Linked DNA regions of Nothobranchius furzeri. Each later gene encodes a partner of the first gene's protein in a complex. Links are inferred from orthologs where the notes say so. Each region holds a gene or a part of one and is shown on either strand. Other genes may lie near its edges.

Region 1 (6,006 bases):
TTTAGTTTCTGTTTTCTTGTTGTTTACTCTTTATTCTTATTTTTTACTCTCCTTTTCTGCTCCTGTAATGAATGTTATTGCTGCTGTTCTGTTTCTATTCTACTCTTCTATCTGTGGCCTTTCCACTTCCTGTTTTAGAGTAGGCTTCATCTTTTTTTACAGGCCAACAACAAAAACCAAAAAAATAGCAATTCTCTTAAATGAAAATATCTCATTAACTTTCATGCTTTGGAGCAGAAAAAGTGCATGAAAACTAACTAATCCACTCTGATTTACTGCGATGCTCACCTGTTCCAGCCAGACCTGCACCTGTGGGGTTGGACTCTAAGCTAAGAAGGAGTTCATCAGTGAGACTTTTGTTCATCTTCCTCACAGACAACAGTTGCTCACGGAGATAAGTGCTGCTGAACATAGAGAACCTGAGCAGCTAAGGCCGGGTTGGTGAGCTTTCCATGTCAGCTGTGGACGGACTGCGGAGCGGCTGAAATCTCAATTTCTGGACTTAAAAGTCAGCAAACTGCAGAGTAAACTCGGCGATTTGAGGAGTATTATCAGCTTGTTTGAGGCCGAGGATGGCATCGCTGCAGACGCGGATTCTAGTAGCACGGATGCTAATGATCGTAAACAGAAAGGAGGGGGCGCTTCTACTGCCTCGCTAACGCTGCAAAGCACAATGAGATTTGTGGTCTTTGTGGCAAAATGGTTTTAATATATATTTGATCTCACAGGCCAAATAAAAACAGATCACAGGTCAACTTTGGCCCGAGGGCCTGAGTTTGACACCCGTGCTTTACAGAGTCTCGTGTTCTCTGGGCTACCGGCGTGGGTTTTACACCGGCACCACCTACTGGGGGACAAAGAACATAGAGCACAAAGCTCACCACTTGGGGAGCATACACTGTATTGTACATTATAGTTCAATAGAAACCAGTTCTGGTTTGGTTCATTTATCTTTTGAGTTTTTAGACTTCCATGCTTGAGCCTTTAAAATGAACAAACACAAAAGTAAAGCATCGGAGTGTGATGCAGTGCTTTAACTTCTTCTGCCTTCAGCTCAGGATGGACGGCCCCCTAGTGCCCCGTATGAACGAGCCATCACTTGGCTGCAGAAGTATTCAGGAAGATGCACGTCTCACTTGGTCTGTGAGGTTTGAGAGCTCTGTAGCCAGTTGGGTTGCGCCTGTTCAGTTTTCACGTGTGTCTGAAAACTGCTGTGGAACCCGGTCGAGCCTGCAAAGCCTCATAAAATGTAAAACGTGTGTCAAGAACATCGTCCCGTCTTACTTTCGATGCCTCTGCTTTCAAAGTCCTTGCCGTGTGCCATGTGGTACAAGTAGGAGTTGTTGAGCAGAGCCTACAGAAAACAAAACATTTAATCAATCCAAGGATTTTACTTCATAAAGTCTAACTAAATGAGTCTAAACAAGCTTAACTTCCTGATCAACACAGACACCAGCTCTTTACCTTTGAGGGGATGCAGCCAACATTTAGACACGTCCCACCCAGTGTTGCATTTTTCTCAACACAAACTGTCTGCCAAAGGAAATCCAATTGTTAGAAAACCCGTATTCATTTTAGAAACCAGTTTCTGCGGATTCAAGGTTCACTGGATAGAAGTAGCAGCAGGTCGGGTACTCCCGTGTTTGTGTCACAGAGGAAACTCACCTTAAAACCAAGCTGTGCAGCTTTGATGGCAGCGACATATCCTCCGGGACCAGAGCCGACCACTGTGACGTCTGCATCAACTACAAAGGAAACACACCAAAACCTCACTCACAACAGCAGAAACACAGAACACACACCCTGGGATTTACGACAACATGGATGGATCTGGGGCTAAGATGTACTCCGCTGTCGGGGAAAACTTCTAAAGAAACGAGAGAAGCAGTCTGACAGAGGGACTCCAGAGACTAGGGAAGTCCCATTATGATATCGATATCGGAAGTAATTTGATAGCGGCCCATAAACACTATCGGATTATGTCGCGCGGCATCAAAAATCTCCGATATAAGCAGTCTGTTAAAGTTCACATTTTTGCAACCAATGGTTAAGAAAAAAATACTGTTATTGGCTCTCCGATTGAGTACCATCACTTGATCCAGCCTTTCATACATTCTACACTATGACACAGGTCAAAGTCTGTATGATTTGTGCTGATATCGTATCAGATTGATATCGGTATCGGTCAATACTGAAGGCTGCAATATCAGTATCGTATTGAAAGTGAAAGTTGTATCGGGACATCCCTACTAGAGACTTTACTTATTGCAATGAGATGGCAACAATACTCTCATTGTTAGGACTTTATGTTTAAAAAAATGTGGCATTTTATTCTAGGGGAAACAGAAAATAAAACAATTATGACCCCAGGCCTTACGTCACTTAGAAACGTCCCAAAATGACCTGGAATATCAGATCTGGGCCCTAATCACGGCCTGATGTACCGGTATGTGGTTCCATGTGTTGGGCCCCAACCCTGCTTCATACAGACCAACAATCACCCTCTCACTGACCATCTGAACCATTTCATGAGCAGCTGCTGCCAGGAGGCCGACTGCCAAAGAACATGTTGTAAATGCCTGGTTTGAAATCTCAAAATTATATCTACTGAATGTACTTTAGCTTTAATATGAATTCATATTAGTAGGGAAAGCATGATCCCATGGTCATCTGTCTGAAGTTTGTGTGTTTTAGAAACAACAGTCATTTAAAGTGGGTCTGAACATCACAGTGAAAGTGCCTTGTCTGTCTGGGACAAAAAACTTTGATGAGGACTTGTGTTATATTTAAACTAATAGAATGAAACAAGATTTCATGGTTTCAATGATCAAACTTCCAGGATTTCTTACTTGCTGCTTTGTCAGCAAAAGTTCGGACGGACACAGTAGCAGCTCCGTGCAGCTTGTAGGGGAGCTGGTGGTTCAGCTGGGAAGCAAATCACACAAGCATTATTGATGAAACACCAAAACAAACTGATAAACTATGTGGGTTTTAATTCCCTGTTTAAACCTTCAAATGTTTTCTTTACAGAATATTTACCCTTGCTAAACATGCAGAGGGCTCTACCAACGACAGCACTGTTTAGTTCCTAAAGCAAAAATGCTTCTGAAAAGCGAATACTATAAAGAATAACAAGGACAGATAATAGGTCCTTCATGTAGGCTACATGGGAACCGGAGCTAGCAGTCTTAGCATGCTAAAACAGTGAGGAAACAAGTCAGACGTGAAACAAACACAAAATGTTAAACATACAGTTAGATTTAAACGTGATACATCACAGAGACATACTCTACTGTTAATGAATTGCACATGGTGATCGAAAAGTATTACAAAAGTCCTGATTTCATTGACATTTGTGATTTCCACCTACACTAGATTTGACTCACACACAATGTGCAAATTGAGAACGTATCAAATGGCACATTAAGCCACGTAGTACAACAGCGGTGTGATATGAACTTTCCCAGCGGAATATACTGAGATAAATGTTCTACATACAACTTCAGTTAACTGAGCAGCTAGCACGTCAGCTAGCATAGCTCGAGTACGAAAATACCACTCACACACCCTTAGCGACTGAAACCAGCCTGACATCTTTAATGACAACACGTGGAGCCTAACGTAGTAATAATTATCATCCTTACCGTGGTCACCGAGCGATAAAGCTGCGTCCAGCTTTGCATTTTGTGTGTTTGTGTCTCTGACCGGCTAAGTAACCTAGAGTAGAGCAAGCAGCCAAGGACTCCTGGTAATGCGCATGCGCAGTAGGCGTCCAAGCTCCTTTTGTAGAAAACTTTATTGGCCATCAACTATGGCAACAAAACAAGCCTCAACTAGAAAAATTTGCATTTATTGCACAAATGCTGTTTGAATGCTGGAGAGCTGAAACTGTAAGCTGAAGCTGCTGAACAGCTGAACTGAAGCTGAAACAAAGCAAAACTGTCAAAATGAGCTGAATGTCTTGAAAGATGTAGAAGCAAAAAGCACAAACAAGCAAATAAAGCACAAAAAGTAAGTGAAGAATAGAGAAAAATAATGTTAAATAGCAAAAAACTGAAATCTGTGAACATCGTATAAAAATCTGAACAGCTAAAATGTCTTAAAACCTGTTATTCCAGTTGGACAAGTTTAACAATTTAATCTTTACATTTAGCTGAACTGTGAAATTAGCAGTTTATGCTAAATTTGGTAACTGATTGCTGAAGTTGTTGAATAGCTGAAGTAAGCTGAAACTAAGATAAACTGTCAAATGAGCTGAATGAAGCGAAAGCTGGATCGCTAATATAAGCCAACAGAGCCTCGTATCGCCTAAATAAAACATTACATGTTGCGTTAATATAATACGCTATAAGCTATGCTTTTGTATTAATCTACTACGTCTATGTGTTTTCTTAATAATGGTTGTAAGACACACATGCTAACGGCCTGTTAACATGCTCCCACTCACTTTTGGGCATTTCGGCGGACAGCAGTCGGTGCGGAGAACAAGGAGAATCTCCAGCCTTTGTTGGTCTACCTCTATCTCTGCTGACCACGACGCTTATATCTATGGTTGGTTAACCATCTAGTGATCCGGAGAAGCTTTCAATGACCGTTGTCTTGTTTTTGCTCAGGTTCAGGCTCCACCAGCAGCCTCCAGGCCCAGCAGCCAGGCTCCACCAGCAACCTCCGGGCCCAGCAGCCAGGCTCCACCATCAGCCTCCAGGCCCAGCAGCCAGGCTCCACCATCAGCCTCCAGGCCTAGCAGCCTGGCTATACCAGTAGCCTCCAGGTCCAGCAGCCAGGCTCCACCATCAGCCTCCAGGCCCAGCAGCCTGGCTCCACCAGCAGCCTCCAGGCCCAGCAGCCAGGCTCCACCATCAGCCTCCAGGCCTAGCAGCCAGGCTCCACCATCAGCCTCCAGGCCCAGAAGCCAGGCTCCACCAGCAGCCTCCAGGCCCAGCAGCCAGGCTCCACCATCAGCCTCCAGGCAAAGCAGCCTGCCTACTACACCAGTAGCCTCCAGGCCCAGCAGACTCCAGGCCCTGCAACCTCCAGGCCCAGCAGCCTCCAGGCCCAGCAGCCAGGCTCCACCATCACCTCAATACCAGCCACCTGATCCAACCATCAGGCTCAGCCTGGGGCTCCAGGCTCCAGATTCACCGGCAACCAGGGCCGAGAGAGAGGTAAGCCTAATACAATGGTCCCTCCTAGAAAAACGGAGAAACTCGAGGAAGATATGGAGGAAATTTTAAAAAAGCATTTAATTTTATGTCAGCCGAGCTGTCTAAGCTAACAGTACAACAGGATCAACTACTATCATTAATGGACGAGGTCAAGACACTGAAATTCAAGCTTGCAGAAAGGGACAAGAAGATCATGTATTGGAACAGAGGGTGGATGAACTGGAGCAGTATACCAGAAGGGAAGACTTGGTGATAACTGGTTTGGAAACAAGACATAGGACTTATGCCAGAGTTACTGGAGATGGAAATACTACTGAGGATGCTCCGCAGGAAGAACTCCAGTCACTAGAACAACAAGTGTTGAGCTTCTTGCACAGTTAGAACATTAATATCCAAAGTGAAGCAATATCAATCTGTCATACCCTTCCAAGAAAGGCAGTCGCCTTAAAACCAGTCATCATAGTGCGATTTACCAGTAGGAAGTACAGAAATGAGTTGTTGAGGCAAGCAAAAAAAAAACTGAAAGGTACAAATGTGTACATAAATGAACACCTGACGAAAAAGAATGAAACAATAGCCAAAGAAGCAAGGGTGCTGAGAAAACAGAAAAAAATCACAGCCACATGGACGAGAAATGGTGTTGTAGAGAGCAAGAAGGTCTAAATGCAAAAATGATCAAAGAGTTGAAAGATCTAGAAGTGTTCCAGGGTAAAAGATGATTTATTGTGTAGCACTGGCTAAATAATGGATAGTGGAATCAGTTTAACTATGGATATGGAAGTACAAATGAATTCATAAAGAATAAATGGATTCCCATGAGAAAATATATGAACTTCACAGT
Region 2 (4,495 bases), on another chromosome or scaffold:
GGGAATGTGTTTATTTCAGGTCCAGCACCATGCAGGCCGGGTTCTCCAGGTACTCCCTCCACAGGTTGGAGAAGCGACACATGGTGGCGCCATCGATGATGCGATGATCTGCTGACCAGCTGACCTTCATGATGTGAGCTGGAATCAGCTCACCGCTGGCATCAAACCGGGGCAGAACCTAGACACACAGTTAGAACGGGCCTGAGAAACATCCGCTCACGTTGGTTCCCGTTTGGGATCACAGCACAAGATCTCACCTGGATTTTTCCCAGGGCTCCGATGGCGACCTCAGGAGGAAGGATGACCGGTTTGGCGTACGTCCCTCCGATCTGGTTCCAATCACAGACAACCACGTTAGTTTCAGGTCGGGTTCTGCAGTAGAACGCGGTACTGCGGTGCGGTTGGACTCACTGATCCGATGTTGGACAGAGTGAACGTCCCCCCGCTCAGCTCGGTGGCACCCAGCTGACCTGCAGCCCCCAGCGCCTGCAGGCGGTTCAGCTCCTGGGCGATCTCGAACACGCTGAGCAGCTGAACGTTCTTCACGTTGGGAACCAGCAGACCCTGGCTGGTGTCCATTGCAAGCCCGATGTTATGAGATGCCTGAGAAGCAGCCAGAACCGTCAGAGCCACCCAGCTACCTGTTCAGAACCAGTGAACACCAGGAATTACCTTGTAGGTGATGTTCTGACAGCTTTCATCCACCGAGGCGTTTAGGATGGGGAAGTGAAGGAGACCCAGAGAGGCAGCCTGAGCCAACGAGAGCACACGGTTATCACTAAGCCAGGACTGAGGCTCAGGACCTCTGGACCAATCAGGGGTGAGGTTAAAGGTGCACCAGAATGTAAAGCCACGCTCACTAGTGATGGGAACTCCGGCTCTTTAGAGTGACCCGCTGACCTTAAATGAGGTCAGAGCCCGGGGGCAGCGTGCTCTGACCTCCATTACAGTCAGGCTGGCGTCCTCTCTGCGGGTTTTTGATCCGACTTAAAATCCTACGGTTTTAGAGATTCATGTGATCATATTATGATTTTAGTGCTTTAACTGATCCTGCCTGTTCAGCATGTTGCTCAGCGCTCACGCCGTGTCTTTAACGGTGCTATACACATAGAGTTGGTCCGGTCCGGTAAAGTGAACCGGTTCTTACGGCTCGACTCACTGAAGCTCCGAGCCATGCCTCCTGGATTTTGGACTGGACTCTACAGTTTTAGGAATTCTTATTTCGGCCACATTGGACTTTTCAGAACTTTTGTCAGTTTTTATGCACAATTCTGATCATGTCTTAGTTCTGGGAGGTTTAACATGCATGTGTGCTGCCCTGAGAAACAGCTGGTGGAGGACCGGGCCCACACACAAGCACGGCCACACTCTGGACTTAGGACTCCCAAACGAGAGGACTAGCAATACCAGTGTGGTAGATTTTCTGACCATGCTGCACCTGGGTTTGGTTGTGACATCACTATTCCACCTGTAGTATGACCAGCGGTGCCAAAACTCCACTGGTTTTTAATACTTTTAATGTTTTCTGTGGTTGTCTCCAACCAGTGGCCTTCGTAGTACTCAGTCCCGCCTGACCCACAGTTGTTCTCTGATCGTTTTGACTTGCTATGTGCATCAGTCTTGGATGAGACTGCGCCCCTCACTGATGTCAAGTCTGGGAGAAAATCTGAAGGTTGGACGTCAGAGGAAATCAGACACATGAGACGTGACAGCAGGAGGGCTGAAAGGCTGTGGAAGAAAGACAGACTTCAAATCTCTTTAGAGCTGTTCAGGTCCAAGCTAGCCTCGCTAGGTCCAAGCTAGCTCGGACCTAGCTGGCAGGTAAGAGGGCTAAAATTAACTATTTTGCTGGCATTATTTCTTCAGCCTCAGGTGACCAGCACTGAGTTCAGCGCTGGACCCGGAGGGAATGGTTACTACAATGGATGACTCAGTTGAGAGCTGTGAGAACTTCCAGGTGTTGTCTGGAGAAACCTGCAACAGCAAGAGCCTCTCTGGTACATGACCCACTATACACCCCTCTGGCTCCACCTCCACTATCAGCCACATTAGACTCATTTACTGTGTCGGATGTGTTGAAGCTGGTCTCCAGAATGAAGCCATCAGGTTCCCCGTGTGACGGTTTCTCCAGTGTTGGCTCCTCCGGTAGTGTCCATCATAAACAGCAGCTTCAGTCACGGCCTTGTGCCCCACACTTTGAAACATGCGGTGGTGAAGCCCCGCTAAAGAAGGCAGCTTTGGACCCAGGAGTTATTTCCAACTACAGGCCAATCTCGCGCCTTCCCTTCAGTTCAAAAGTCCTTGAGAAGACAGTTTATGATCAGCTCTGTCTATTTTTGGCCACCGACGAGATCTTAGAACCACACCAGTCTGGATTCAGATCTGGGCACAGCACTGGAACTGCTCTCTTAAAGGTGCCCAACGACGTGTCCCTGGCAGCTGATGCTGGGAAGGCGGTGGTGCTGCTGCTTAGTGACTTGACTGCAGTGTTCGACACTGTGGATCATCAGGTTCTGCTGGAACGCCTAGAGCAGTGGGTGGGGATTTCAGGAGCAGCTCTGAGCTGGATGAAGTCCTACCTGACTGGTAGAACTATGAGTGTTTCTACAGGTAATCACTTATCGTCTCAGAAAGAGCTGAAATGGGGGGTCCCTCAGGGATCTGTTCTGGGTCCCCTGCTCTTTTCAATCTATCTGCTCCCACTCAGCATGATCTTCCACAGCTGCGGTATTGACTTCCAGTCGTATGCCGACGACTGCCTGATTTATCTGCCAGTGAGAGAGGGGTTGTCTGGCTCATTAAGTCTCTGGTGGAATGCGTGGAAGACGTGCGTTCACGGTTGTCGACCAACTTCTTCAGTTGTAATGAGAGCAAGACTGAAGTCATAGTTTTGTCACCTAATGGCCATCAGCCATGTAGCATAGACCTCTTATCATTAGCACAATTTGAACGTAAAGTGGTAACTGATCTTGGTGTGAGACTGGACTCTGGACTGACCTTTGATGCACAGGTGAACTCTGTAGTGAGATCATGCTAACCCTCACCCTAACCCTAACCCATCCTTGCGCCTTGCGAGGATCAAGCCTATGCTATCCAGAAAGGACCTTGAGATCGTAACATCTGCATTTGTGCTTTCCAGACTCGACTACTGCAACTCTGTATGTCGGTCTGACCACTTCCACACTGTCAGAGCTGCAGATGGTTCAGAACGCTGCAGCAAGGTTTATTACCGGAGTGAACAAATGTAACACTCCAGTATTACATGCACTGCAGCGGCTTCTGCTAAAACACTGCATTGAGGTCAAGATTCTGGTATTTACATTCAAGTCACTAGCAGGGACTGCGCCGCCTCATCTATCATCACTACTGCAGAAACACGCCCCCTCAAGATCACTGTGCTCCGCTGCCAACAACCTACCGGTCGTTCCACCACCTGAACATAAGAGTCGCGCCCCAACATTGTGGAATGGCCTTCCACTGGAATTAAGACTCACAACTACACTTGAAGCTTTTAAAGCACAATTAAAAATGCACTACTGACTCACAGCACCCCGTGAGGCCTCTGATCTGGTTGTGTAACTAGTTTTTAGCTAAATGAAGATTTCATCTTAACCCTCTTAGCTTGCACCAGTACATGTTCCTTTGTGTTCTCTGAGTTGTAGGCAGAGTGTGACGTGTACATACAGCTTCTTTATGGGTAGTTATATTCTTACTGAGCACAAAGGTAACTACTTGTTGTTCAAGTGTCTCCAGTTCTTTCTCTGAGGCGTCTTCTGCTGAGTCATGATTCGTCTCTGCTTTGGGATTTATGAAAGAAAACGTAGCGGAAAAATGTGTACAACTTTAAGTTGACTAAGGACCTGGCCTACACACACTGGACATGGAGAGCACCCCCCCCCCCCCCACACACACACACACAGGCTGAAGCGCAGAATACAGAATGGGACATAACATCATGCGTCTGTGGCAGTGTGTGTCCTGTTACTGTGACCTGATTGATGATGCGCCCTGGCTCTATCAAAACCTGGATGGTGGGAGCTTTCTTCAGCTGAATGAAGATAAGACTGAGATCCTCATCTGTGCCCCAGACAAGCTGGTTCCCAAAGTCAGAGACTCTCTTGGTCAGCTTGCTTCCCACACCAAACCTTCCGTCAGGAATCTTGGCGTGACCTTTGACCCAGCTCTCACCCTGGATTCTCATGTCAGTTCTCTTGTTGGCTCTTCCTTCTTCCATCTCAGGAACGTTGCTAAGCTGAGTCCCATTCTGTCACGCTCTGAACTTGAGACAGTTCTCCACACCTTCATCTCCTCACGCTTAGACTACTGTAACTCTCTTTTCACGTGTCTGAGCAGAACCTCCCTGAACCGTCTACAGGTGGTTCAGAACGCCTGTGCTCGGCTTCTGACCAAGTCCTCCAAACACACCCACAACACCCCACTTCTCCTCCAGCTTCACTGGCTGCCAGTCAACTTCAGGGTTCATTTCAAGATCCTG

The links. The genes of interacting proteins can lie anywhere in the genome.
Region 2: the proteins of dldh (region 1) and dbt are in contact, whole or in part, in a crystal structure (PDB 3RNM), measured with the Homo sapiens proteins. The link is inferred for Nothobranchius furzeri from reciprocal best matches to the Homo sapiens genes DLD and DBT. Residues at the interface, in NP_000099.2 of Homo sapiens: Ser446, Thr447, Asp448, Arg449, Glu472, Tyr473, Gly474, Ser476, Glu478, Asp479, Arg482; in NP_001909.4 of Homo sapiens: Thr174, Pro175, Ala176, Lys196, Arg199, Leu201, Lys202, Glu203, Leu206.

The regions. Positions count from the first base shown.
Region 1 is NC_091754.1:40,923,195-40,929,200, forward strand, and holds the start of dldh (dihydrolipoyl dehydrogenase, mitochondrial), read right to left. Parts: upstream 3,796-6,006; 5' UTR 3,684-3,795; coding exon 3,645-3,683; intron 2,926-3,644; coding exon 2,850-2,925; intron 1,746-2,849; coding exon 1,666-1,745; intron 1,534-1,665; coding exon 1,465-1,533; intron 1,355-1,464; coding exon 1,285-1,354; intron 1-1,284. UniProt on the Homo sapiens protein: Lipoamide dehydrogenase is a component of the glycine cleavage system as well as an E3 component of three alpha-ketoacid dehydrogenase complexes (pyruvate-, alpha-ketoglutarate-, and branched-chain amino acid-dehydrogenase complex).
Region 2 is NC_091748.1:80,632,052-80,636,546, reverse strand, and holds part of dbt (lipoamide acyltransferase component of branched-chain alpha-keto acid dehydrogenase complex, mitochondrial), read right to left. Parts: intron 751-4,495; coding exon 673-750; intron 604-672; coding exon 412-603; intron 330-411; coding exon 258-329; intron 179-257; coding exon 11-178; 3' UTR 1-10. UniProt on the Homo sapiens protein: The branched-chain alpha-keto dehydrogenase complex catalyzes the overall conversion of alpha-keto acids to acyl-CoA and CO(2).